Nothobranchius furzeri: one gene and its partners. The protein of the gene in region 1 interacts with the protein of each later gene in a pairwise test. Links are inferred from orthologs where the notes say so. Each region holds a gene or a part of one and is shown on either strand. Other genes may lie near its edges.

Region 1 (4,990 bases):
ACCTAACATCTTTGCCCACAGTCATGGCAGCGATGACCTTCTTCACTGCCTCTTTTCTCTTCTCCTTCTTCTCATTGTTCAGCTCTGCCTTCAGCTCAAAGATCTCCCCTGAAAAATGAACCATAGAGAGTAAATGGCTGAACAGCATGAATGTACTATCAAGTGGAAATAATCTGTGGAATTTTAGGGTTTTCTTACTCAATTTTGGCCCATTTCTATAACATTTCCCAACTCACCTTTTTTGTTTGTGGTGAAATATTTGGAGTCTGTCATGATTCTGGCCCTTTAAGCCTGCAAACAACATCAATAGGGAAAACGGCATCATTTGTTTTCCAAAAGACGGACAGTTAATAAATCTCAAATCTTTTGATTTTTACTGTCATCATCATTCACTCTGATCTGCATTGCATTAATGATCATGTCATCATTAAAATTCAAACAATATACAGCAATTTGGAATGGCGTCTAATGCATGTTGGTATATGCATACATAAGAAAACTTCTAGAATGTTAACCCAGATAATGATATGAATCATTTCATAGTGTTTGGTGCAAAACACCTGCATGTTCCAACTTGTAATAGAAGAATTGTTAGCATGGTTGCTTTCTAACATCATGAAGAACCACCTTAAATCCTGAGGCAAGGCCTCCTTAAGCTTTACTAAGGGGATCAGGGCAAACAAAAATAAAGGAATCTGGCATTATGAGTTTAGTCTGTAAAGAAAAGATTGGTTTAATGTACAAATGTTATGAGAGACCGACCGATATGGTTTTTTTAAGGCCGATGCATATTTTTAAAGAATTTTGTTGCTGATCGCCGACATTTAAAGCCAATTATTAAGGCCGATATATACGTGTTTTAGCAGCACATTTATTGTGAAAGACAACTGAACACTCACTATGTGCAATATAAATTAAATAGGTCAATAAATCTATTTTTATTCAACTTCAAATACAAAACAAACTCAAAACATTAAAGAACAGGTCACCCCCTACCAGAGTATTACGCCGGGGACACACCGGCCGCGGAAGCGCCGCAAAAATGGGACCGCCTTCATTCGGCGCCCTTGTTAAACTATTCTATAGACCACATGAGCCGCTGAAGCGCCGCGAATCGCCTCGGGCCGGCGCGCGCCGGCGCTCCAGCCCACGCCGTGCAGCGATCATTTCGGCGTCGGCTCTATTTTTTTCGCAAGCCGCGAGTGAATCGCGTCAATTCTGGCAGGAAGTCAAACCTAGACATAAGAGGCAGGCCGGTAAAGTTAACAAAATAAAGCATTTCAAAATAAAATTCCGCAATAGTCAAATGTGTTCGTAATCAGACACTGCAGAAAAACCACACGAACACACACAGACATACACACACATTGAACTTGTGTGCGTGTGTGAGCACGTGAAGGGGGTGTGGTTTTGGGTGTCTTTTCACCGGAGCAAACAGGACAGAGAGGCAGAAAGTCTGAGGCAAGCAGTTAAGATGGATGACTTTAAATTAATTATGGAAGTTGAGAAACACAAGGAGCTGTACGACCCCCGAAAAACATGGTTATTTACGAACCCATTTCGGAAGAAACTGCTAGGATACAGCTGCAGAATTGGAGCGGGTTCCAAGAGATTCAACAGACAGAAACAACTCATACCATAGGTTCACACACACACACACACACTCAAACGTAGAGGAAAAGAGCTGAGAAAAGGCAGAGAGGAAATGGAGGACACCAAGTGTTTAAAAGAAAAACTACAGCTGAGCCGAGGCGCGCCTCGACTGGAGCGCGTCTGATCTGAACTGAGGAGCGGCGAGCAGCGGCCGAATTTCGTGAGCGATTCGCTTCTCGGCGCTTCCGCGGCCGGTGTGTCCCCGGCGTTACTCCACTCCCACTTCCTGTTTGAAATATGCAACAAATGCAGTTGCCTAGCAGACCGAGGGTGGAGCCGCTAACAAATACACACACACAGGCTCACAACAACATTGTAACATCATATGGTACCAGCTAACATTTTAGGGTACCTCTTAGCCAATAGTGATGGCAGATTTAAATTCAAATGCAGTGCAGAGTTTTTACCTGACAACGGCACAACACTGACAGTTATAGGCCGAAAGTTATAATTGTAACTAAAATGCACTAAAGCGCTAAACTTTCGACTACACGTGTCTGCAGCATGATGACTCACATTTATATCAGAAAACATAAAAAATTGATTTGGGGGTGACTTGCTCTTTAAAAAACGGTGTGTTGGGTCCTTTCTTCAGTCTAGTAGTAGTGGCAGTTGGTCATACAGGTGCCCGATTTATTTAATTTTTTCTTAAATCTGCTTTTAAAAATAATTTCGTCCTACATAGAAAAGATAGAAAATATCGGCCGATATATTGGTTGGCCTCTAAATGTTATCATCCTTGGCGTTTATTTCTAACCTCATTTAAAAGGGCTACAACAATTCACAGCAGCTAGATTTGTAAGTAAATCCTTGCTGCAGGAAGAAATGATTCACATGAGCTGCATTTGAATTATTTTATTTTTGCCTCAACAAATACAAAACATTCACACAATCATTAAAAAAGTCCTTAGGCGTGTGTTTCCATAAGATCTGTTAGACTTTTTGAAAAAATTTGCAGGCTTTTTGTAAAAATCTGCAGGACACATAAGTGATCCGACATCAGATTTGACCTTGTTCTGTTTGTTTATGACGCTGGTGGCTCGCGAGCGTTTCAATGAGGAGCCCGTTGCCAAATATACGTTATGGCTTCAGAGACATTTAAGCAACTATTTGCCTCAAACTGTACACCTCTATTAAATATTTACGATAATCCCACAGGCACTAGTCGAGACAGTTCACTGTTTCAGGGCGTGACACTTTTAATCCAGAAACATCAACTTAATACATAATTCCCCTTAGCTAACATTGGTTAGCTTAACGGCTATGTACGAAAAAAAGCATCAACACTCATTCCGCAGTAAACAGCCCCAAACAGTGAATCTAAATAACCACCAGGGTTTTAGTTTCAGAAAACCGATTTCAGTTTTCGTTTGAGCATTAGGCTAAATCTGACACAAAAAAGAGAAAAGCGACCAGCGGCCCAGTTCCCATCGCTACATGCCTACTAGAGATACGCTAAAGCAGCCATACATTGACTAAGACACACAATTTACACATCAAAAAATTACACGATTGCAAAATTAACGTGAAATATGTGTACTTAAGTACCTGGTCGTGTGTGAAACTGAGAGGGAAAATCGCTGAACGGTCCTTTCCCTGGTTGGAGGAAGATGGAGAATGGTGCGTTTACAGTCATGGAAAATTGGACTACTTCCCTTTGGAGCTAAAACGAATGCTACGTTGGAGGACAACCCGCAGTCAGATAATGCGGGTTTCAGTCCATTTGTTTTGTTTTAAAAATGGGGAAAATATACCACTTCATTGCATATTTAATTTTTATTTAGTTAACCTTTATTTCAGATAAGAAAAATAAACAGTAAAATAAATAATAAAAGAAAACAGTACCTTGAATTTTGTAAAAAAAAACTGCTGGTATTATAGTACATTTATTAGACAAGTGTTATGCTCCATCTCCTAATGTTGGTGTAATAAATCGTTTCTGATGATTTTTTAAGTTAATAACATTTGTCAATAAAATGTCAGTTACAGTCTGAGAAGAACAGAAGATGACTTGAGACAAACTTTTCAGTTTTGGAAGCTTGTGCAGGATCCTAAATGCATCTTGAAATGTCAGTTTTAGTGTGTTTTTGGTTTTTATGCAGAAAATTCCAGCTCGAGTTGGGAAGTAGAGTTGATGGCTTTTTGTGGGAACGTTTCTCTGGCCTCTTGTAGCTTTTTGTATGCTCTTTGAAAGGCCTCTGAAGGGAAATAAAACAAACAAACAGAAAATACAAATTAAATTAACCCTGCAGAAAAATTCCCTGTTCTTTCTACATTTTTGTCTACTTTGGGCAATCAAGCTGCAATGCAAGGCTTGGTATACAGTCCATAACATTTTGTGAGTGTCCTAACAAATCCATCTTCCAGTGGTTTGAAATAACGAGAATCTAAATGATAAATGACCCATAATTGTATAGCGCCTCTCAGAGTAAGGACTCCAAAGCGCTGTACACTACAGTGTATCATTCATCCATTCACACACACATTTACACACTGATGGTGATGAGCTACGATGTAGCCACAGCTGCCCTGACGCTCGCTGACAGAGGCTAACTGGTGGCATTATGCTAATTTTCACTCCCGCTATCATAAAATCATTTCATGGTAAAAATAATAAATGGTGGAACATTCAGAGCCTGATTACAGTAAACTTTTTCACTTAACCACACACACAGAACTCACAGCTCACACAAACAAGGATACACTCAGCAGCAAACAGGAAGTGAAAGTCTTTTAAACCCTGATGCAAATACTGTGTGAGTATGTTTACCCAGAACATTGCAAACATCTCCCTGCTGACTAAATCCTCCCAGCTGGTCGATGACTTTCTGCCTCCTCTTTTTCTGAATGGCAGCGTCAACAAAGGCCCTGAAACAACCAGAAGCGAACAGTAAACACTTTTTAAAAGTAAAGATGAAACAATTTGCATTAATAATACAGATCTTTGTGAAATTTGTAAATGGAACACTTGCATTTGCATTAAGAAATAGTGTTTTGCATGCAGTGCAGAGAGTAAATCTCACTTCTGATGTTTTATTCATTCCATATAAACTGTTAAGCTGTCAGGGAGAAAATCAGAAACAGCTGCTTGTTGATTAAACTGGTCTTTACCTGGCTTGTTGGATGCAGTTCAGATTAAATGTGACACTTCCTGAGGTTAGACTGCAGAAGCCCAAGCGACTCAGCCTGTCTCCCTGAAACCAGACACCATTGTACCAGATTAAGAATCATAATAATGCATTAATTTACTTGCTTGCTCAGGTATACACAGTTAACTTGGTGATAACGAAATAATGCTACAACTACCACAATGTATATTTTTAAAACATCATGTTTC
Region 2 (5,076 bases), about 14 Mb from region 1:
AAGCGGAGCTGCCAGAAGGCTGCTCAGAGTGGAGCTGGAGCTAACGGAGGCAGCAGGCTGAGAGGAAGTGGTGGCTGCAAGAGATGCAGGTTTCTCTGGCACTGGAGCTGAAGACAAACACATACAGAAGAAGTAGTTTTTACTGAAAAACCTGCTTATGGGATAATTTATAAGGTGTTCAAGGCTGCAAGTATAAAAAATGTGAATTTATTCCTGCAGCTGGCTTTTTCTTACCAGTTGTTTCCAGGACTTTTTGGATTTTACTGATAGCAGCTTTTTTCTCTTCGTCTAGATCTTTGGCTGTGATGGTGTAGCCCAGCTCAGGAGGTGGAGGCTGCACATGAACAACCACAATAATGCAATCTGGATGCAAATAAACAAATGTGAGGGAGATCAGCGCTCCTCACCAGAGAGATGCGATCATCTCGGTGGCTGGACACCAGCTGGATCTTCCGTTTTCTCTTCCCACCACTTCCAGTCGAGTCTGCAGAGGTTGTGACTGGGGATTTGATCACCGGAGTTTGTTTTACTGCAATATTATGAAACAACATCATATTTGTTTGTGACCATACTTTGAACATGAATCATCTAAATTGGAAAAGTCATCTACAGATAAATGGGAATTACTGGTATCAAGGGTCTTGTCTGATGCAGTGTGGTCCGACTTCACTGAGGATGCAGAGCTTGGAGACTGAGTGTCATCCTCTCTGTTGATTAGAAAACATAAAAAAAGCTTTAATTTGTAGTTAAATGTGGTTTAATGATGACAAACATGCAGAAACAGACCTGGGTCTTTTGGCAAATCCCTCTGGAGTCTGAGAGCGAGACGATTCAGGGCTCGATAGAGGAGAGCTGGGTGCAGATGGTTTCTTCCACTGTAAAGAAAAACAAAAAATGCTTCGATTTGCTTTTGCTATGCAAAAACCCCCTTTACTAGACTCCGGTAGATGAAGATACCTGACTAAAACCTATCGAAGAGCTGTAGGAGCTTTGGATTGCATTTCTTCTGGTACCCGAAGTTCCTCTCGGGGCATGAACTCCAGAACTAGAGCTGATGGAGGAGGTGCGAGACCTCTTCATGGTGGTCTCGTCTAAGGATGCGGTCATCCCTCTTTTTAGGCTCCCTGGTCTGGAGAACATTAATAAAAACAACATTTAAAGCTTTGTCCAACATCTAAGATTATGATTCAGCTTTACATACAATTCTTACTCACTTAGGGACCAGCTGGGATGGTGCTCCATTAGGCAACAGAGGCTCAAAAGCAGAGTGCGAACTTCCACCGCTGTCATTGCGCCTAAGAAAAGCCATAAAAAGAAACCATAAGACAGCTGCTATTGTCCAGACTGAGCAGACAGTACCTCAAGAATCTATTAAACAAATTTTCTACCTTCTTTTGCTTCTTTGCTCAGCGGTGAAGCTCCTGTCCTCATCCTCTACTTCCCTCTTGCGGCTTTCCTTCAACACCTTGAGGACGCTCTCTCTGGAGCAGGGGTCTGCCGGGACCCTGGTGAGCCCTGCACAACTCAGATGATTCACACTAAAAACCAGAGCAGAGGACAGTCAGCACTGATTCGGCTGAAAGTAGCAAGACCTCAAGCAACAAATCAAGGGCTATCCAAATAGTAAATTAAAAGACAAAAAATTAAAAATTAAAAATAAACGGTCGTGCCCAAAAACATTTAACCTGCAGAGACCTGGGAATGTTGTGGTCGGGCCTGGCGATCTTTACAGTGACGGGACTGAGAGCAGCAGGGGAATTTCGAGGACTCAGGATGTTCTTTTTTCTGAAACCATCCCACTTGACAGGAGGCAGGACTCCTACTGAGGAGACTCCAGGCTGCTGAAGGGGGTAGCGACGCTGGGGGGTGATGGTGAACCTGTTAGCTGCACCCAGAGGCTCCCTGCAGAGGAGATTGTAATGGAAGGAACAACTTCAGCAGGTTAAAACGTACAGATGTTATGGAATAGAAATAAAACAATATAAAACAATCACTTTACATGTGAAACATGCAGCTGCATAGAAAAAGAAACTATGCTGCTCATCCTAACCAAAAAGTAAAGATATGCACTTTAACGAAAAGTTAGTAAAATGCTCTGTTAGTTTTTAGACAACACAAGCGTGTAGACACAACAAGCCATCAAAACAAAAGATTTATCACAGTAACTTAGCTAAAAGCATGAGTAAAAGAAGCCAATGAAACAAAGTTATTGGATGTTTTTAAAACGATTCCAAGTTAAAGAGTTCTGGTTAGAGCTTTATACGTTTCAAACATGTGGGTTTTGTGTGCTAACAAGCTAGCTAACGCTATAAACATTTCTTTTTCATGCAACACGTGAATTTAAACAGATGGATCAGAGCTTAATAAACCTAATTAACTCACCCAGAGAACGAAAGCCTCCTGTTCGGGGTATAAACTGCATGGTTGGGTCTGGACAGTTGTTCTCGCAGTTGCTCCCGGGGATTTCTCCCGGCTTTTGGCCTCCCAGAGACGGCCGCTGGACTTTCGGCTTTCCCGATGTAACTCCCCATGAGAAAATCCCGAGGGCTGAAAAGAATCGAGTCACTTGCTAAGGCTTCTCCTCGACAGAGCCCGGTTTTACTGAGCTTCGGGAGTCCCTCTGTCTCCCGGTGATGGTGCTCGGATCGGTTGCGGTTCTTCGTTCTACTCCGCGCGGCCACCGAGACGCCGGTCGCTGTCCAACCCGACGACCAGCGCCGCAGCACGCCCGAAACGTTTAATCCAACCCGAGGATTCGGGCCTAACCTGGCGGGAAACGATTCTCCGCTGTGATAATAAAAAGCAAAACAACAAGCTGCAAAAATTAAAGTAGCGTACAGAAAAGTGGGGATGTAGTAAAAAGCGAAGGTGATTAATCCTAAAACAGAGAGAAGCGCTAACTGTTTCTCCCTAGGTGACATGGCGGTAGCGCGCCGCCTCTCTCGCATTCAACATGCTGCTGCTCTATCCAACTGCTCGCGCGGCAGCGCTCCCTACCGAGCACAGGAGCGAACTACACCATCAATCCACACGTCACCGTGCACACTCGCCTATGCACGCAAGCACACACTCACAGCAGACTTACCGCTCAGGGAAATAGCAGACTCAGATTCTGCAGCATTCTGGAGGGTTTCCTGTTAACCGCGATCATTAGATGAAAAAGGAGAGGAGGGCGTTTTTTTCAAGGAGGCATGGGGCAAGCGGCTCCGAGCGCCAACTTGTCACATCGGCAGGTGAGTGGTTGAGCCAGGTGGAGGTGCGGCTACCTCAGCTGGAGACCAGTGCACTGCAGCCACGTGGTGATTTGCTGACAATGTCACGTTTTTCAGCTTAGCCATCAGCTGTGGCTGATTCTAAATAAATGTGGAGCAGTTTTTAACCTGAAGATGGAGATATAAAGTTTTGGGCCGAAATTAAATTTAAAGTTGCACCAAATTGCCACACTGATTACACATCTACAGACAAAAAAGTTAATTTAGATGTTACTCTTAAAAGTAAAAGACTCATGCGGAGTTAAAAGCCATAAAAAAGGGGTTTCAAAAGAGATTTAAAACAAGACAGCGATGATGCCAACCTAATATTTAAAGGCAGCACATTCCAGACTACACTAAAAGCCCCCACCTCAGAGGCTAGGTCTCATTCTTGGGACTTCCAGGAGCATCCATCTCATCAGCTGACCTTAGACCCACAGGAGTAGAACAGCAGCAGCTCAAAAGTAATGTTGAGTAAGGCCCTAAGGCCATGCATAGATTTTAAAGTACCTTATACTGGATACTAAAGCAAGCAGGTAGCAGTGCATTGATGCCAAGACAAGGGTAATGCTCCATCTTTATCCCAGTATTGTAACCTTCGCTTTAAATTAAACGTTAGGTTTCACAAACATGTTTTGATGACTCTTCCCTGCTTGTGAAACAATTTCAAAGATAGATAAGTCTGAATTATTTGCTGTAACCACAAATACATATACTTCCTTCTGAAAGCTCAGATCTGCCCTCAAAATATGCTAACATTAAGTTTTACATGCATTTGATATTTATGAGCTGTTAGTGTGGAGATCTAGTGGGATTTGGAATTAAGTTTGAGATTTAATTTTGAAGGCAATTGTGGCAGATTTTTTTTTGTTAACACCGTTTACATGTTGCCATCTAAAATTGGTCTATTCTGCAACTTTTAGAAGTCTGTTTAATTGGCTTCAGGGGAAACTGCTGAACAATTTTTGTAAAACATTTCAAATGAAAGCAAAAGCAAATTTAACCTTTTATTGTGATAACGGAACATTTTTGGTCACAAGTTAAAAACAAATGTAACTTTTAATTTCCAAGCATTACATGGCAAATGAAACCAACTGTGGAACCATGACTTTACTGCCCACCCCTCAGACGCAGGACAAGGTGGAGGGTGGACTCCTTCTGAATGTTGTAGTCTGAGAGGGTGCGGCCATCTTCAAGCTGCTTGCCAGCAAAGATCAGCCTCTGCTGATCTGGGGGGATGCCTTCCTTGTCCTGGATCTTAGCTTTGACATTCTCAATGGTGTCACTTGGCTCGACCTCCAGGGTGATGGTCTTTCCTGTGAGGGTCTTGACAAAGATCTGCATTCCACCCCTCAGACGCAGGACAAGGTGGAGGGTGGACTCCTTCTGAATGTTGTAGTCTGAGAGGGTGCGGCCATCTTCAAGCTGCTTGCCAGCAAAGATCAGCCTCTGCTGATCTGGGGGGATGCCTTCCTTGTCCTGGATCTTAGCTTTGACATTCTCAATAGTGTCACTTGGCTCGACCTCCAGGGTGATGGTCTTTCCTGTGAGGGTCTTGACAAAGATCTGCATTCCACCCCTCAGACGCAGGACAAGGTGGAGGGTGGACTCCTTCTGAATGTTGTAGTCTGAGAGGGTGCGGCCATCTTCAAGCTGCTTGCCAGCAAAGATCAGCCTCTGCTGATCTGGGGGGATGCCTTCCTTGTCCTGGATCTTAGCTTTGACATTCTCAATGGTGTCACTTGGCTCGACCTCCAGGGTGATGGTCTTTCCTGTGAGGGTCTTGACGAAGATCTGCATTCCACCCCTAAGACGCAGGACAAGG
Region 3 (5,043 bases), on another chromosome or scaffold:
CTGTTGCTTTTTCTTTCTCTCTTTCCTATAAATGTAGAAACTATTGAATGTAGACCAGCTTGAGCATGAGTCTAGTAGTTTTATAACGAGCACAGCCACAATTCTGCTCTGAGATCCTGACACTAACACTGCTGTGTTTTTATGCTGTAGCTGTGACTTTAAAAGGAGCTGAAATAGATAGTTATGTTCATTTCTATGTATAAAATAGTTGTTACAGCCTATAATCCATCTACTCTACAGTGCATACAGATAACAAACAAAAACAGAGTGACACTTGTGTGTTTTTTCTCTTTGCATTGGGGAAAATGTTGATTTTTCAGTCACATTTCATGATTTCTAAAAGAAAACGCTGTGGAATGATTCAAGTGAAACTGTGATGAGCCCAGCTTTTTTATCCTGCTCTTTTACTTTGTTGTAACGTTTCTAAGAGTATTTAGTTCTGTTATTTCACCCCATCTCACAATGTACACAATGGAACAACCACAATGTACATAACAGATAATACTTAGATTTTTGTTCCTTCTTTGTTTAATTGTACAACATTAAAATACACCGAAGTCGTAGAGGTTTTATAGTGAAGGAGATTAGAATTAATGAGCGGGTGGACTAATAGATAACTAGTTTCTGATGTAACAAACAGTATTATTCAACATTAGTCCAGTTCTGTTGAAGGAGGTTAAATTATGTTGTTACACTGATCAAACCAAAACACTGAAAGCACCACGTAGATGTTACACTGGGCTACTTTGTGCCAAATGCTGATTAGATACAATCTCTGTGAATTGATTGTTACTGCTACAAACACGTGTCCTGAGTGTCTGCTTGCTATGAAATGTTGCATCTTGTTGTTTTTACTCTGTACACAAAATAAAAAAGTAGTTTCAGTAGTTCTGTGTTTGCCTCTGAGTTTGGTGAATAAGATGTGAGTGCAGAGGGAATTAAAATACAGGAGATTAGCTGCAGACACGGGAGCAAGGATGAAACCTCCAAAATCTGTAACTTTGACAAGCGTTACGATAAGTTTCAAGTTTACATAATATTCTATTCGTTTTTATTTGTAAATATCTTTGCCATACTTGCATAGCAGCAGCAAATATAAATTCACCCATACATGGACTTAGTTTTTTTTTTGGAGGGGGGAGGGGGAAGATGTCCCCCCACTTTTTCAAAAGTCAATTTTTGTCCCCTGCACTTTTTACCATCCACAAACAATATTACGCTACATTAAATTGGCACTGGTTGAGCACTAGGACCAAGCGGAAAACACCTGCTTGTGTTGAAGCCTGTTTCTCGTTAGAACTGTCTATAAGCTCATCTGTTGGCTCTACTAATACTTGAAAAGATGGCAAGCTATATAAATGAATGAGTCTTGTCTTTTGTAAAACAATTCAGAATATTTTTTATTTCATGTGTGTATGTTTGCATTCATGTAATAGCCCAGAAATCTAGATCGACTGTAGCACAAGCAAAAGGATATAGGGTGGCTTGCTAATTCTTTTGTACTCAAACTAAACTCATGAATGATTCTGTGTTACCAAAGGTAATTTATAATAAAATGTATGTATAGTTTGTATGGATAATAATAATAATAATAATAATAATAATAATAATAATATACGGTTCATGGCTCTTCAAGGACTAATAAACCTCAAAAGCTTCTAATAATTGGAGATTCCCTTTATATTATTTAGAATGTAAGCACTTCCTCTAATACTTTATTTTCTTGTGCTTATTTTTATGTATGCTCATTCATTGAAATATGACTGTTTTCTTTTTTCGAACATAATAGCTCGTCGTGTTTTTATTTGTACTATAAAGTTGATCAAATTAAAGCTGAACAATGTTAAAATCCGGACACTAGGTGGCGGAAGAGCGTTGCTTTGTTGAAGTATGAACAGTCTATGAGTATGAACGATGTGTTGAGAAATACAGAAACGATTAGACTAACTCTAGTTTCAGCGCCTTTGGCTTCCTGACAGGGTCGTGGAAGGCGCTTTATAATTAAAGCTTTGATTGATTGATTATGTAGGAAAACGCACACATGTGTACTAACCAGTCCACACTCCGTGCCAGTTGGTGGCAGTAATGTGGCACGACGTTGGTCGCCAACTGGCATAAAACATCAAACAGGAGAAGAAGAAAAGAAGCGACGAAGAAGAACTGACATTCGCCAACATGGCGTTTAGTTTTGGCGGCGCCACGAGCAATACAGAAGCAAGTATGGACTTTAGTTACCTCTACTTTGTATTCTTTCTCTTAGCGAAAGCTGTGTCGGATATGTGTCATAAACCAGACGCCACAAGGATATGAACGCATTACTAGCATATGTAGTTAGTACGTGTCGCAAGCTAACTGCTGTTGAAGCATCATGTAATCTCACAATCCGGCCAATGCAGCAAACTTCAGTGGGTTGTGTTCCACGTTTTAAGTTAAAGTCATAACTAGTTTGTTACGTATTCAGATGCGGGACAGATTACTTGGTCATCTACCTTTAGCAGTAAAGCCTCCCCATGTTAGCGTCATGCTACGAATCAGCTACTAGTTAGCTACTGTATGAAGTTTTCAGAAAAGCATCGAAGGATACAGTAGAGATGTAATCCAACATTTAAAGACTCGTTTATGTTCTTTTAAAGGCGCGCCCGGGTTCTCATTCGGCGCATTTGGTGCCAAGACGACGGCATCAACCACGTTTGGATTCAACCCCACGGCCACCACGACCACCGCTTCTTCAGGGTTTGGCAGTAAGTCACGCTCCTGACCCACATTCAAGAGGTCTTCTGTGTTTTGTTTTGGCTTTCATTCGTGTGTGTGTGTGTGTGTGTGTGTGTGTGTGTGTGTGTGTGTGTGTGTGTGTGTGTGTGTGTGTGTGTGTGTGTGTGTGTGAAAAAGCTCTAACAGCTCCTGGTTTTGGGACTGTCACCTCCACTTCTGCACCCGCTACAGGATTTAGCTTTGGCTCCACCAACACGGGTAGGACAAACATTAGTTTTAAAGCGCGTTTCATTCGTTTTGTTGATTTTTAGACGATTAACTCACTGAAGAGCTGGTGCCAAATGTAGCATTGTGTCATTTAACTCCGTGTTACTTTCTTCTTGCTGCCTGCCTGCTTCGGCTACAGGATTTGGGGGGCTTGGAGCTGGAAGCACCATGGCTGGCGGGTTTAGTTTTGGGGGGTTTGGTTTAAATGCCAACCCAGCAGCAATCAGCTTTAATGCAGGGTGCTTTGGTACAGCAACCACTACTGGCACTATTTTCAATTTTGGTAATAGCCTGACTAGCACAGGTAGATGATCTCTGTGATCGAGTTCATTTTGTGTTTGCAAAAATCGTTTGTGTCCACCTCCATGTGATGCAGTGTTTTTCTTTCTCCATCTCACCTGGTGACTCTTATACATCTATGTTCTGAAGTTTCACTGTTTTTGCATGAAAGACTGTGTTAAACTATGCTCTCATCTTGTGTGATGATGAATGTGGACATTCAGTACATTTTTTGCAGAACATCATGTTTGATGGATGTCATTTGATCATTGCCAGAAATACTTTTCTGCTACTCACCATGCACCCAGTGATTTCCAACTCTTGTTCTCTCATCTCCTTTCCCTTTAACTCCTTTCATTGGAGGGATTATTCTTTGATTTCCTTTCCAGGTACATTTGGTGGCTTTGGGGCAACGACAACAACAGCTGCTGCACCGGGGTCCACTTTCAGCTTTACTACCCCCTCCAATACAACAGGTTAGTAACAGAGTAACCTCTGTGAGTACACATTTAGAGCAAAATAAATATTAAAGCTGTGCGTGGCGACATTAGGAAGAATTTGGACTAACTTGAATATAAAAAATATATATTGATGGAACCACCCCCCAGCTTTACATGTTACTCTGAAGGTGCTGGTGAATACTGCTACTAGTAGTCAAAGTGGTGATTGACCGTTAGAGGTCTCATGCCTTTACAAGATATTTTTACTGAGACCCTGCTGATTCTCCAGAGCAGGTTAGGTTTCCAGTTTGGGAATTGCATGAGATGACACTTCTCGTCTGCTAATCAGTAATGGTGAGCAGATTCACCATTTAATCAATCGATTGCACTGTGACACTTGCCAATTCAATAACAATTTATAAATATATAAAAAAAATATATAATGAAATGCCTAAAAACAGCTGCTAAGCACGGCAGGAACATAAAAGTTGCACGTACCATTCGTACACTTTAGGGGACGGACCAGCGGAAATGTAATAAACAGCAGTAGAGAGCCTAAGCCACGCCCATTTACTTCCAGTCCGGTCTACTTCCAGCGTGTGAATGACTGTTCTTCGTGGAAGCACTTTCGAGTCCTCTGACACAGAAATGCCAATTACCATTTCAGTTTATTTACTATAAAATCACAAATGAATGTTTAAGAACATGTGTAAGATGCAGGTGATGTCCTATTAACACCAGTTCAAGTTACTATTTTATCCCAAATAAACAACCAAAACAGCAGGTTCTATGATGCTATATTCTTGTTCTAGCATGAACACTGAGCTGCTACAAGATGTCTCACTTTACCAAAACACGGGGCTCTCCTTGTTGCTGTGTTCCTTCTGCAGAGCTGACAGCATCTTTTCTTTTTTGGGTTTTAATTTGTTGCTTTTGAATGCGTTTTGTCTTAGGAGGCCTGTTTGGGAACACAGCCAACAAAGGGTTTGGATTCCCAGCAGGACTGGGAACCGGTACCGCTACTGGAACATCAGGGTTTGGAACTGGATTAGGAGCAACTGGATTTGGAGGTTTTAACATCCAGCCGACGCAGCAGCAAGGTGAGCGCCTCCTTTTCCAAGTGAGTGTTTACCTGCAGAAATCAGGAGATTATTATTGTACCAAGTCTGTTTCTGTACATGAATAAATCCAGTTTCAGACAGTATCTATTAGGGGTGCACAATATATGGGCATCATTAGTGGTATCGGTCAATATAGGTAATTTTTTTTTATCATATCTGTATTGGTCCGATGGGCTGGGCAATATAACTATAGCTATATATATATATATAAATAAATTATATAT
Region 4 (4,815 bases), on another chromosome or scaffold:
CATAAATAATGAGCTACAGACAGATTTGAAGCACGTTTAATAAGTTATTGAATATTTTTTTTACTTAAAAACTTATTTCATTGTTCAGATTTACTCTAAGTTTTATTAGATTTGAAACTTTCGTAATCCGGCGTGATTTAGGTGAACACTACAATAGTAATAATAGAGGAAAACACAATTCAGAATGGAGTATACGAGTAGGCAATAAAGAAAAAAGCAGAATTTGGGTAAAAATAAATAAATGCATTTGAAGCAGATTTATTGTCTTGTGTTTGGAGCAGAGATTAGATTATTTAATTAGAACGGGGCTAGCTCTGGTGTCCAGGGATGGTTGTGTCCTCTGCGCAGTAGTACCTGGTAGTGATGTGTCGGTCGCGAACGAACCGGCTCTAAGAGCCGACTCTTTGAAGTGAACGATGGGAGCCCTCCCCCTCCCCCCCTGCCTTGGTGAAAGCTGCAGGTGATTGGTCAACATGTGTAACTGCGTGTCCAGACTGTCCACACACAGAGCAGTAGGGGCGGAGAAGAGGGAGGATCAGACTCAGACACACAGCAGAGCACATGCGGGCGGAGGGAGGCGAGCGGGAATGAGGAGGAGGAAAAAGGCAGAGAGAGGAGAGTGCGACGAAGACGGTGAGAAAATTAGCGCCAGCAGTCGGAAAGTGGAGATTTCTTAAAGTGTTCAGTTATTAAATCCATAGAAATGATAAATATTTGATACACAGCATTTTTTTACATTAGTAAATCATTTTACAAATAGTTTTGCATTATTTTGGTTATAAATGTATTCTGCGCAAAAGAAAATCTGAGGAGCCACTTGGGAGCCGAAAGAGCCGGCTCTTTTTGGTGAGCTGAGCCATTCCCATCACTAGTACCAGGACCAGAGTGAATAGGGTGTGTGTGTGTGTGTGTGTGTGTGTGTGTGTGTGTGTAAGCATGAGGGATGCATGTACGTCAGGTGGGGTCTTGGACTCCTCTCCTCTGCTGAGACATCTTGAGGTGTTACGACATCTTCGCGTACCCTCCTGCCACTTGTTCTACCGGTGGGCGGTGCCTCGGTCTGCCTGCATATCTAAATGCACTATGAATTATTATGGTATGCTTCCCAGCATAAGCAGTTACTGTTATATATCCTCATGCTGTTGGAGCAGCGATGTTTTGTCTTGTTGTATTTTTGTGTGTCTCCTTTTCACGCTCTCTCTCTCTCTCTCTCTCTCTCTCTCTCTCTCTCTCTCTCTCTCTCTCTCTCTCTCTCTCTCCAGAAGCTGATTCTTCTTCATCATTTATTATTTATATAATTCATCCTCCCTCACCTCTTCCTTCACTCTCCCCCTTTCTCTCACAGCTGTCTCTGTGTCCGAAAGTGTTGCTAATAAAGTTTTGGTGTCAGCAGTGGCTACGGCAGAAGCTGTGAGCTCCACCTGAGAGAATAAAGCTGCAAGGCTCGTCTTCAGCAGTCAGACATCAGTTCTGGTTGCTTCACAGCCGGACAGGACACGGTAAAAAGACAACAAAAGGATATTTGTATGAAATCAAGTGATAGTTATTAAAAGCATTCAAAGAAAAGATGTTTTTTGTCCAACTGCTCTTCTGTGACTATTTTATTTTATCCTTTACTTATTTTATTTTTATTTTTTTTATCTGCAACGATTTATAATAAAAAAAATTCTAACAAGTTTCGCTTCACACACTAAAATGACAGTTACCAGGAAGAGAGGCCAATCAGGGGGCAGAACGCGGGTCAGGTGACCCTGTCTCCGCCGCCATGTTTGTTATTGGCAGTGAAGCCTGATCGGACTGACGGCAACGAGGTTTGGCGGAGGTTCGGTTCGTTTTCTGGGATGAAACAATGGTCCAGACGTGCTCAGCCTATGGCTGTAAGAACCGGTACCACAAAGACAAAGATGTCTCCTTCCACAAGTAAGTTCGGCTCCGGTGTTTCTGCGCCGACTCTCGTTAGCCCGCCCGAGCTTCGGTCCGGTCTCAGAAACAGCCTCGTTCAGTCACAGCAGTCTATTCATTCATGTTTTCGTGCTGAATGAAGCAGAAGTCCGAGCAGCGGCCTCACAGAGGAACCACCTGTTCAACAGGTGTCCAGGTGTTGTAGTCCCATTAGTCTGACATGTTGGAGCAAAACCAGAGCAGCTAGTGGTTAGGACCAGTTTATTCTACAAACACAGAAACACCTCCAGTTGTCCAGACTGGTGGAGCATAAAACCAGGTGTGGCGAGGCCTCAGGCTAGATGTGGAGGGGCATCAGAGCAGGTGTGGAGCAGCAGCAGCCAAGTGAGGAGGAGCATAAAACCAGGTGTGGAGAGAACTCAGGCCAGGTGTGGAGGAGCGTCGGCGCAGGTGTGTTTCACACTTCCTGGTGTTTAGATAAACATTCAGTACTTCAGTAAAGTTGCTGTAATTAATGCGGCGTCATCGGGTCACGTGGAGAAACTCAGGTTTTTATTAAAAGTCGTTTATTTTATCGCTGGAATCATTTTGGATTTTTTCACTAAAATCTTCATCATTCTGCTTTCTCACAGATCAGCTACAGAGGCTGGTTCTGGCTCGGGTTCTGGTTCCTCCAGAACTCATCAGTCACTTTGTCTGAGTTGACGTTTGTTCATTTTCATCACCACCACCGTGCTTTGCTCTGATGGAGTGAGAACATGTCCTCCTTCCGGTGGAGGTCATGACCTCCATGCTAATCATCTCTGGCTGTAGAGACGGTCTGGATTTGTCCTCAGAACCAGAACCAGACCAAAGCTCCGTCATCCTCTCCTGATCTAGAGCAGACTGGACTCACAGGATGGGTCCTTTTTAGTCCACTGGACCTGGTTTCTTTTCTCAGCCTCTGATGGTTTGGGTTCCTGACGGTTCTTGAAGACGTTTCGGATCTTCTCGTGTTTCTACCTGCAGCCGTCGGTTTTACTGAGCCCAGTTGTGTTTAGAAGTAGAAGTGATGAGGTAGTTCTGTTTCACCTGTCTTCAGTGTTGGGAGTAACGACGTTTAAATATAACGGCGTTGCTAACGGCGTTCTTTTTTAGGTAACGGAATAATTTAATTGATTACTTTTCCCACTGCTGCAACGCCGTTACCGTTACCACGTGCTTGTCGAACGTTGAGCAGCAGCGTGAGGCTTTCTGACCGCCACACTTCAGCTGCAGCCAGGGAGAGAGAGGTGTCGGTAACGCACTTACAAACACGATGGTGATTGGCCGGGTGGGCGGAGACCCTCACGGTCTCAGTCGCTGCATTCTGTAGACACAACAGAGCAGTGATGGGAATAACGCCGTTTAAAATAACCGCGTTAATAAAAAAAAAGTGTTCCTGTAACGAGCAAACTAATTAATTACCGTCTTCTTTTATCAAAACGTCATTTCTGTTACTGATAAGGAAATGCGTGCGTTAAGCAGCGCGGTGTGTTGAAGCTGTCATCAGCTGATCAGGAGCTAAAGAGGTAGATGTTTTCATCCAAGAGCATCACGGACCGTGAAGAACGAGGAAGACGTGATGAATGATTCGCTGCTGCAGTAGCGAATCTGTGGGTCTGCAGCCGTGCTCTTAGCGTGACAGCGGGACGTCCCGAAGGTCCGCTCACCTGTTCACCTCTCAGACGTCCTGATCTTCTACCTTCCTAGATCATCCAGCTGTAACCTGTTTCTGATCATGTCTTTAGTCCCGCTGTAACACTGATGCATCAGTCTCAGACGTCATGGAGCTCAGGTGTTATCAGAACTACCTGTGTGTGTTTACCACCCAGCTTCAGCTCTTCTGTGGTTGGGTCTGACCCAAGTTAGTAAATGTAAGTCCTCCATCAGGCTTGTGCCTCTTCTAGTGTCATTTTAAAGGATTTTATTTATTTATTTAACCGTTACTAGATTACCTGCAACAGAAATGCTACTAAAAACACACAATTATGTGAAGCTGGAAAAATTAAAATACCGTAGAAAATTACATTTATTTCTGTAATTTAACTAGACTGAGAGACCATTTAAAGGCTCGGGAACCTTTACAGGTGTTTCTATTTGCAATTTTAAATGTTAGCTGATTGGGTTTTTGTTAAATATCACACAGAGACCTTTTAATAGTCTAGATAAGTGTAATGTTCCTATTAGTAGTTCCTCCTGTTAAGTGCTTATTTATTTAAATTATTCAGGTTTTATTATGTTCCAGTCATTAGTCATTTATATTTCACTATTATAGTAATTCTTGCATTCTTTAATGAAAAAAGTAACTAAGTAGTTATTTTTCTTGGTAATTAGTTACTTTTATAATCTTGTAACTGAGTTACTTTTTTTGACAAAGTAATCAGTAACTATAACTAATTGCTTTTTAAAGTAACGTTCCCAACACTGCCTGTCTTCATCTGAATGACGTTCCTGTGAGGACTTCACTTCCCCAGCTGTTGTACCATTTGACGTGTTTTCCCAGGTTTCCTTTGGCCCGTCCAGATGTTTGTGGGAAATGGGTCGCTGCCATGAGGAGGAACAACTTCAAACCCACCAAGTACAGCAACATCTGCTCCCAGCATTTCACCAAAGACTGCTTCAAGAGGGAGTGCAACAACCGGGTTCTCAAGGAGAACGCCGTCCCGTCGCTGTTCACCTTTACCCTCAGCATGAAGGTCAGAGTCCCAGTGTGGTTCTGGTTCTGGATGTGAATGTTTTGGGCCCTGAAGGCTTTAACCCTGAGACTCTGAAGTGTGGTTTAAAATCCCAAATCTGTCTGGTTTCTGTCCTGCAGGCCGAATCTTTGGAAGACCCGTTTCCCCCAGAGATCCACTTACCTCTCTCTCTGCCTCTGACCTCTGACCCGACCCT
Region 5 (4,913 bases), on another chromosome or scaffold:
AACACTGGTGTCCAATCCTGGTCCCGGATGGCCACTGTCCTAGCCTAGTGAACTAGACCAAATTCTTGCTTTGCAAAGTTTGGTCTAGGCACGCTCCATTGGAACCTCCACAGCTCCTACCAGGACTCTGGCTAGCCAATCACAGCTCTCTAGAGGGGTTTCAAACACATAAAGAGCTGTGATTGGTCCATAATGGTGGGCCAATCATAGTGCTCTATCTGCTTAGTGAACAAATCACAGAGCTTTATCCGCTTTGTGGGCCAATCAGGGCACTCTATATGCCTGGTGGGTGGGATGATGCAACAGAGTGAAACAAGAGTATGTCATATTCATTGTCCAGTGGAATGTGGAGATCATTTGAAAGACAACGGTAGAACCCGCCCCACAACCGAGAGCCGTCAATGGAGCGTGGCCAGACTAAATAATACCTTTATTTAGTCTGGCTTGCCAGGCTACCACTGTCCTGCTTCAAAAAAGTTTTTTTCCTGCTCCAACACACCTGATTCACCAATTAATTTACCTGTTCAGCAGGTCATCAGTAGCCTGGCAAGCCAGACTAAATAAATGTATTACTTGCAAACTTTGCAAAGCAAGAATTTGGTCTGGTTCACTAGGCTAGGTCATCAGATGAAGCTTGTTAAGCACCAACTGATTAAAATCAGGTGTGTTGATTAGAGACACCTCTGAATTAGTTCCTCTTGCAAACCAGCAATGATTTGTATTCTTATTTAAATTAATTCTCTGAGCATTTTCACAAGAAGAAATAAAAACTCCACACATGAAATGTCAAAATTAAATCTTTACAATTAAAATCTATTTAAAAAAAACTACAAAACTTACATTAAACATCTTTCCTACCTATATTTAACAGGAAGTTCTACAGAACTTAATATAGTTGACAAGCAAACCCAGCTTGGTGATTAAAAAAAAGAGAATAAACATTTAACTCTTCAAGAGATAGAGCACGTCTTCATGAGCTTTCTCCTCCTCCTCTTCACTCGAGGTTCCCATTGGACTGTTGTTCCTGGGGTCTCGCGTTTGCATCCCGTCTCACCCAAATGCTGCACAGCCCCGGGCAAATTATCAATCAACTCATGCAGGGTGAAGATACTAAAGCAGATTTCATCGTAGGCGGTTTTAGAGCCACACTCGAAGAGGCAGGCGAAGGCCACAGCCGGCGGTGCCCCAGGCGAGGGGGACAGCTCCAGGTAGGTCAGGTCTGAGTATGCGCTGGGACCCTCGTAGATCACCCAGGGGCCCCGCCAGCTGTCTGGATCACGAGGAAACAGGCTGAGGAACACACCTAGATCCTTACGTGCTGTGGCCCAAGTTGGGTGGGAATATACCACCCATGTAGGGGTCAGGAAGTCTGGATGAGCATCATGATGAGGTGTGATGTTTGAAGATGATTCTGTCGTTTTGTTGGAGTCCAGGAATGACGTCCAGTGCCTGGAGTGACCTGTGGGATGCTGTAGAGTTTGCTGTAGATGCAAAGGAGCAGGAAATCCAACAATGCTACCATGACAACCGTTTCTAGGCTCCACCAGCCGATGCACTAGCTGCCCCTCCTGAAACACAGCTCCATCATCCAGACTCAGGGCCTGCACCCTGTATCCCAGAGGGCTGCGTGCATTACAGTACAGCACGTTGGTGCCATCCTCTTCATCCACGGACACCATCTGACATTCCACACTCTCTGGAGCCGGAATAGCCTCGCCGAAACGCCAGCTCCTCCCGTGGGTGTCGCTGTGGAAGCAGAATGAATGCGGAGTGGTCTGGCAAAGCTGTCCGAAGCACTCCTTACAGTCAATGTGGTAGGAGTAGGCAGGAATCAGAAGACGACCCGACTTTAGCTGGATGCCATGACCCGGACCCAGAGCAAACGTAGCCCATTCTGTCAGGAGGGAGGAAATAAAGGGGACCAATCAGTGTCATCCAATTATTCTGAAAGCTTCTTCCTGTTATTCTTATCAGATGAACCAGATCTTTAACATTATTTAATTTAAAATGCATTCATTTTGTTGACCTACCTGCTGTTATTTCTGATATGTTATTTTATTTATTATTTTGGATATTTTATAAGTTATTGGATCTGATCAAATAAACCTGAAGTGCAACTTGACGGTGTAGTTTTCATCTAGGGTTAAGGTTTGTCTGGGTTCGGTGACCTTTGATGGTGTCTCCGATGACTGCCTTGGTGAGGTCGGTGACTGGACTCCAGGAGTCACCCCCGTCAGTACTGGAGATGAAGCAGAGTCGGGTCACGTTGTTCCCCGTCACCAGCTGGTAGGACTCTGAGGTGTTACCCAGAACAGCGATGAAGAACAGTAAAAGTGTCCCTGTGAACTCATCGTACACGGGACACGGGTTCATGGACCTGTGACCCGGCAGAAAGGCGGTACCCAGAACTCGCATGTCCTCCCACTGAAACAGAATAAAAATGTAAAGAATTACAGTTAAAGCCAACAGTAATCAATTCAAACGATTTCTAAACAAATGTTTTTGTATGATATAAAAAAAACCCAGAATGACAGGTCAGTGACCTCCACGTAGTTCCTGTAGAAAGTTCCTTTCCTCATGATGAGCAGGTGAGCCTGGGAGTCAGACGGGCTGAGTCTCTCCTCACAGAAAGCCAGAAAAGTCCTGAACCGGGACACGTAGATCAGGGCTGGGACTCGGTACGTCACTCCGTTAGGCTCCTTGTGGAAGAGCACCGTTCTCGCTGGGAAGTAAGGCGACCTCATCCTCTTTGTTGGGACTGAATCTGAATCCAGTGACACAAAATCAGGAAGTTTTCTCAAACACAACTAAGGACAAAAGACAAAGAGAAAAAACAGTAAAGGCATTTCTTTATGAATAGGAGCAGTAACTATTGTGATCATGAAAATTTAAGTTATGAAACACATCAGAAATACTAAATGGCAGAAATTAATTTGAAAATCAGGTTCTATGCTACTTCACTATAAACTTGTCTGTATTTTAGCTTTTTACACAAAGATTTTTGTCTAAATCTTTCACCATCTGAGCAACCACTCTGTGACAAAAATCAACAGATCAGCAGTCAAACCAATGTCGCTGCACTGAGCTCAGTTTGAGTTTGAATAAAGTAAATGATCTTACCAGTCAGAGAATGATCTCTTCCACCCGTTTACTGGAATATTTTCATTTGTTTTCTGACCAGTAACTTCCCAGTTTAACAGCACTGGGAGGATTCAACACTTCAAAGTGTCACAAACAGGAGAACCCTTGCTGTCTCAGATCTCTGAGAGAACCGCTGCTGCTTTTCGAGGATACACCGGTTGCGTGTGAGCTCCTGGTTCAGAGGCTCACAGTATGATGTATGTGTGTAGTCAGTGAGTGTAGTGAGAATCTCTGTTCACTATTCAGTGTGGCATCCTGTGCACTGACCCAGAAATGAACACCCCTCAGATCCAAGGCTTTGAATGAATCAGCAGAGAGCAGCCATTGTTAGAAAAGCAGGTCTGGTGGGGGGTGCTGAACAATGATGTGATGCTCCGCCTCTCTGATTTCATATTTTCATTTTCAGCACAACGTACGTTTCGTTTTAATGTGTAAAGCACGTCTCTTCTCTCAGAGCCTTGTGTGTGTGTTCTTGTACTTACTACGTACTGAGGACCATCATGAGATTTTAAACCAACAGAGGGAATGAGTGCGGTCCTCGCTATTTTAGAGAGCTTACCAGTTGGTTTTAGAGGTATGGTGGGAATGAAGTTTTTGTTGAGGTTAGGGTTAGGAATACAGCAGCACTGGTTATGCATAGGCATTATACAGTCACAATGAAATGGAAGTCAATGGATGGTTGTGTGTGTGTGTGTGTTTTGGTGATTACAGCTTCTAGACGCCTCTTGTATGGAGAGACCAGTTGTCTGCATTGCACAGGAGTGATTCTGGCCCATTTTTCTACACAAACGATCTTTAAATCTTAAAGGTTCCTTTGGCCTCTTTTATGAACTTTGATCTTCAGTTCTCTTTTGATTTTCTATGGGATTTGGGTCAGGTGATTGACTGGGCCATTCAAGCAACTTGATTTTTTTTCCCTTTGAAACCAATTCATTGTTCCCTTGGCCTTGTGTTTGGGATCATCATCTCACAACAAATGAACCACCCTTTGTCTGTTTTTAGCTGGTAGGTGGCAGTAGATTTTATTCCAGAATGTCCCGGTACTTTTCTCCATTCATTTTGCCTTTAATAATTTGAAGCCTGCCAGTACCCCTTGCTGAAAAGCAGCCCCACATCATGATGCTTCCACCCCCAAACTTAACTGTTGATATGGGAGGTGGGCAGTGCCATTTTTTCTTCAAACATGGTGCAGAATGAGAGCCAAATTTATATTATAGTCTCCCAGTATTCCACAGGCTTCTCCAAATGCTGTTTCACTAACATTAACCGAGACTCAACAAGCCTTTTTGTTCAGCAATAGAGTCTTGTGTGGTGAGCATGCATGGATGCCATGATGGTTCAGTGCCTTGCATATAGTTTCCTTTCGAAAAACAACTGTGCCTGCTGATGCAAGGTCTTCCTGAAGTTCTGCTCCGGTTGTTCTTAACTCTTGGAGAACTTTCCTGATTGTTCTTTGGACTCCTCGTAAAAGAATCTTATGTAGTGCACCTGACTGTGGCCGGTTTATGGAGAACTGATGTTCTTTCCATTTCCAATTTTCATTACCTCCCCTCCTAAATACTCTGTGAGCAGCAAGATTTAGCACAGTTTTTTAATTTAGTTCATGAGGAATGAAAGGGCTCTTCTTTAAGTTGGCTTCTGGAATAAACATCTCAATTCCAGAAAAGTCCAAAGTGTCTAAATCCAATTTAAATTTGTTTGCTGATTTTTTGGAACCTTTTTATACCCAAAGAGTAAAAGGTCAATAGAATACTGTTGAAATACTGTAAAAC

What was found.
Region 2: the proteins of AP-1 complex subunit beta-1 (region 1) and pom121 interact in binary tests that used the Homo sapiens proteins (3 or more experiments, as listed by UniProt). The two-hybrid records come from large-scale screens. The link is inferred for Nothobranchius furzeri from reciprocal best matches to the Homo sapiens genes AP2B1 and POM121.
Region 3: the proteins of AP-1 complex subunit beta-1 (region 1) and nucleoporin p54 interact in binary tests that used the Homo sapiens proteins (3 or more experiments, as listed by UniProt). The two-hybrid records come from large-scale screens. The link is inferred for Nothobranchius furzeri from reciprocal best matches to the Homo sapiens genes AP2B1 and NUP54.
Region 4: the proteins of AP-1 complex subunit beta-1 (region 1) and thap1 interact in binary tests that used the Homo sapiens proteins (3 or more experiments, as listed by UniProt). The two-hybrid records come from large-scale screens. The link is inferred for Nothobranchius furzeri from reciprocal best matches to the Homo sapiens genes AP2B1 and THAP1.
Region 5: the proteins of AP-1 complex subunit beta-1 (region 1) and neu4 interact in binary tests that used the Homo sapiens proteins (3 or more experiments, as listed by UniProt). The two-hybrid records come from large-scale screens. The link is inferred for Nothobranchius furzeri from reciprocal best matches to the Homo sapiens genes AP2B1 and NEU4.

The regions. Positions count from the first base shown.
Region 1 is NC_091750.1:66,891,488-66,896,477, reverse strand, and holds the start of AP-1 complex subunit beta-1, read right to left. Parts: upstream 3,333-4,990; 5' UTR 3,202-3,332; intron 292-3,201; 5' UTR 274-291; coding exon 237-273; intron 111-236; exon of another isoform or gene 109-110; coding exon 3-108; intron 1-2. Other genes in the region: tectonic-like complex member MKS1, read right to left, coding at 3,748-3,851, 4,424-4,521, 4,765-4,847. UniProt on the Homo sapiens protein: Component of the adaptor protein complex 2 (AP-2). Adaptor protein complexes function in protein transport via transport vesicles in different membrane traffic pathways.
Region 2 is NC_091750.1:52,614,742-52,619,817, forward strand, and holds the start of pom121 (nuclear envelope pore membrane protein POM 121), read right to left. Parts: upstream 3,082-5,076; 5' UTR 2,949-3,081; coding exon 2,383-2,948; intron 1,903-2,382; coding exon 1,696-1,902; intron 1,539-1,695; coding exon 1,389-1,538; intron 1,296-1,388; coding exon 1,215-1,295; intron 1,130-1,214; coding exon 958-1,129; intron 876-957; coding exon 787-875; intron 708-786; coding exon 628-707; intron 530-627; coding exon 408-529; intron 335-407; coding exon 235-334; intron 108-234; coding exon 1-107. Other genes in the region: polyubiquitin-C, read right to left, coding at 4,362-5,076. UniProt on the Homo sapiens protein: Essential component of the nuclear pore complex (NPC). The repeat-containing domain may be involved in anchoring components of the pore complex to the pore membrane. When overexpressed in cells induces the formation of cytoplasmic annulate lamellae (AL).
Region 3 is NC_091746.1:59,724,339-59,729,381, forward strand, and holds the start of nucleoporin p54, read left to right. Parts: upstream 1-1,962; 5' UTR 1,963-2,175; coding exon 2,176-2,218; intron 2,219-2,633; coding exon 2,634-2,741; intron 2,742-2,889; coding exon 2,890-2,970; intron 2,971-3,118; coding exon 3,119-3,283; intron 3,284-3,647; coding exon 3,648-3,734; intron 3,735-4,651; coding exon 4,652-4,798; intron 4,799-5,043. UniProt on the Homo sapiens protein: Component of the nuclear pore complex, a complex required for the trafficking across the nuclear membrane.
Region 4 is NC_091746.1:71,096,987-71,101,801, reverse strand, and holds the start of thap1 (THAP domain-containing protein 1), read left to right. Parts: upstream 1-1,734; 5' UTR 1,735-1,849; coding exon 1,850-1,920; intron 1,921-3,662; exon of another isoform or gene 3,663-3,795; coding exon of another isoform or gene 3,796-3,797; intron 3,798-4,426; coding exon 4,427-4,619; intron 4,620-4,738; coding exon 4,739-4,815. UniProt on the Homo sapiens protein: DNA-binding transcription regulator that regulates endothelial cell proliferation and G1/S cell-cycle progression.
Region 5 is NC_091753.1:42,144,407-42,149,319, forward strand, and holds neu4 (sialidase-4), read right to left. Parts: upstream 2,960-4,913; 5' UTR 2,745-2,959; coding exon 2,544-2,744; intron 2,425-2,543; coding exon 2,169-2,424; intron 1,895-2,168; coding exon 951-1,894; 3' UTR 782-950; downstream 1-781. UniProt on the Homo sapiens protein: Exo-alpha-sialidase that catalyzes the hydrolytic cleavage of the terminal sialic acid (N-acetylneuraminic acid, Neu5Ac) of a glycan moiety in the catabolism of glycolipids, glycoproteins and oligosacharides.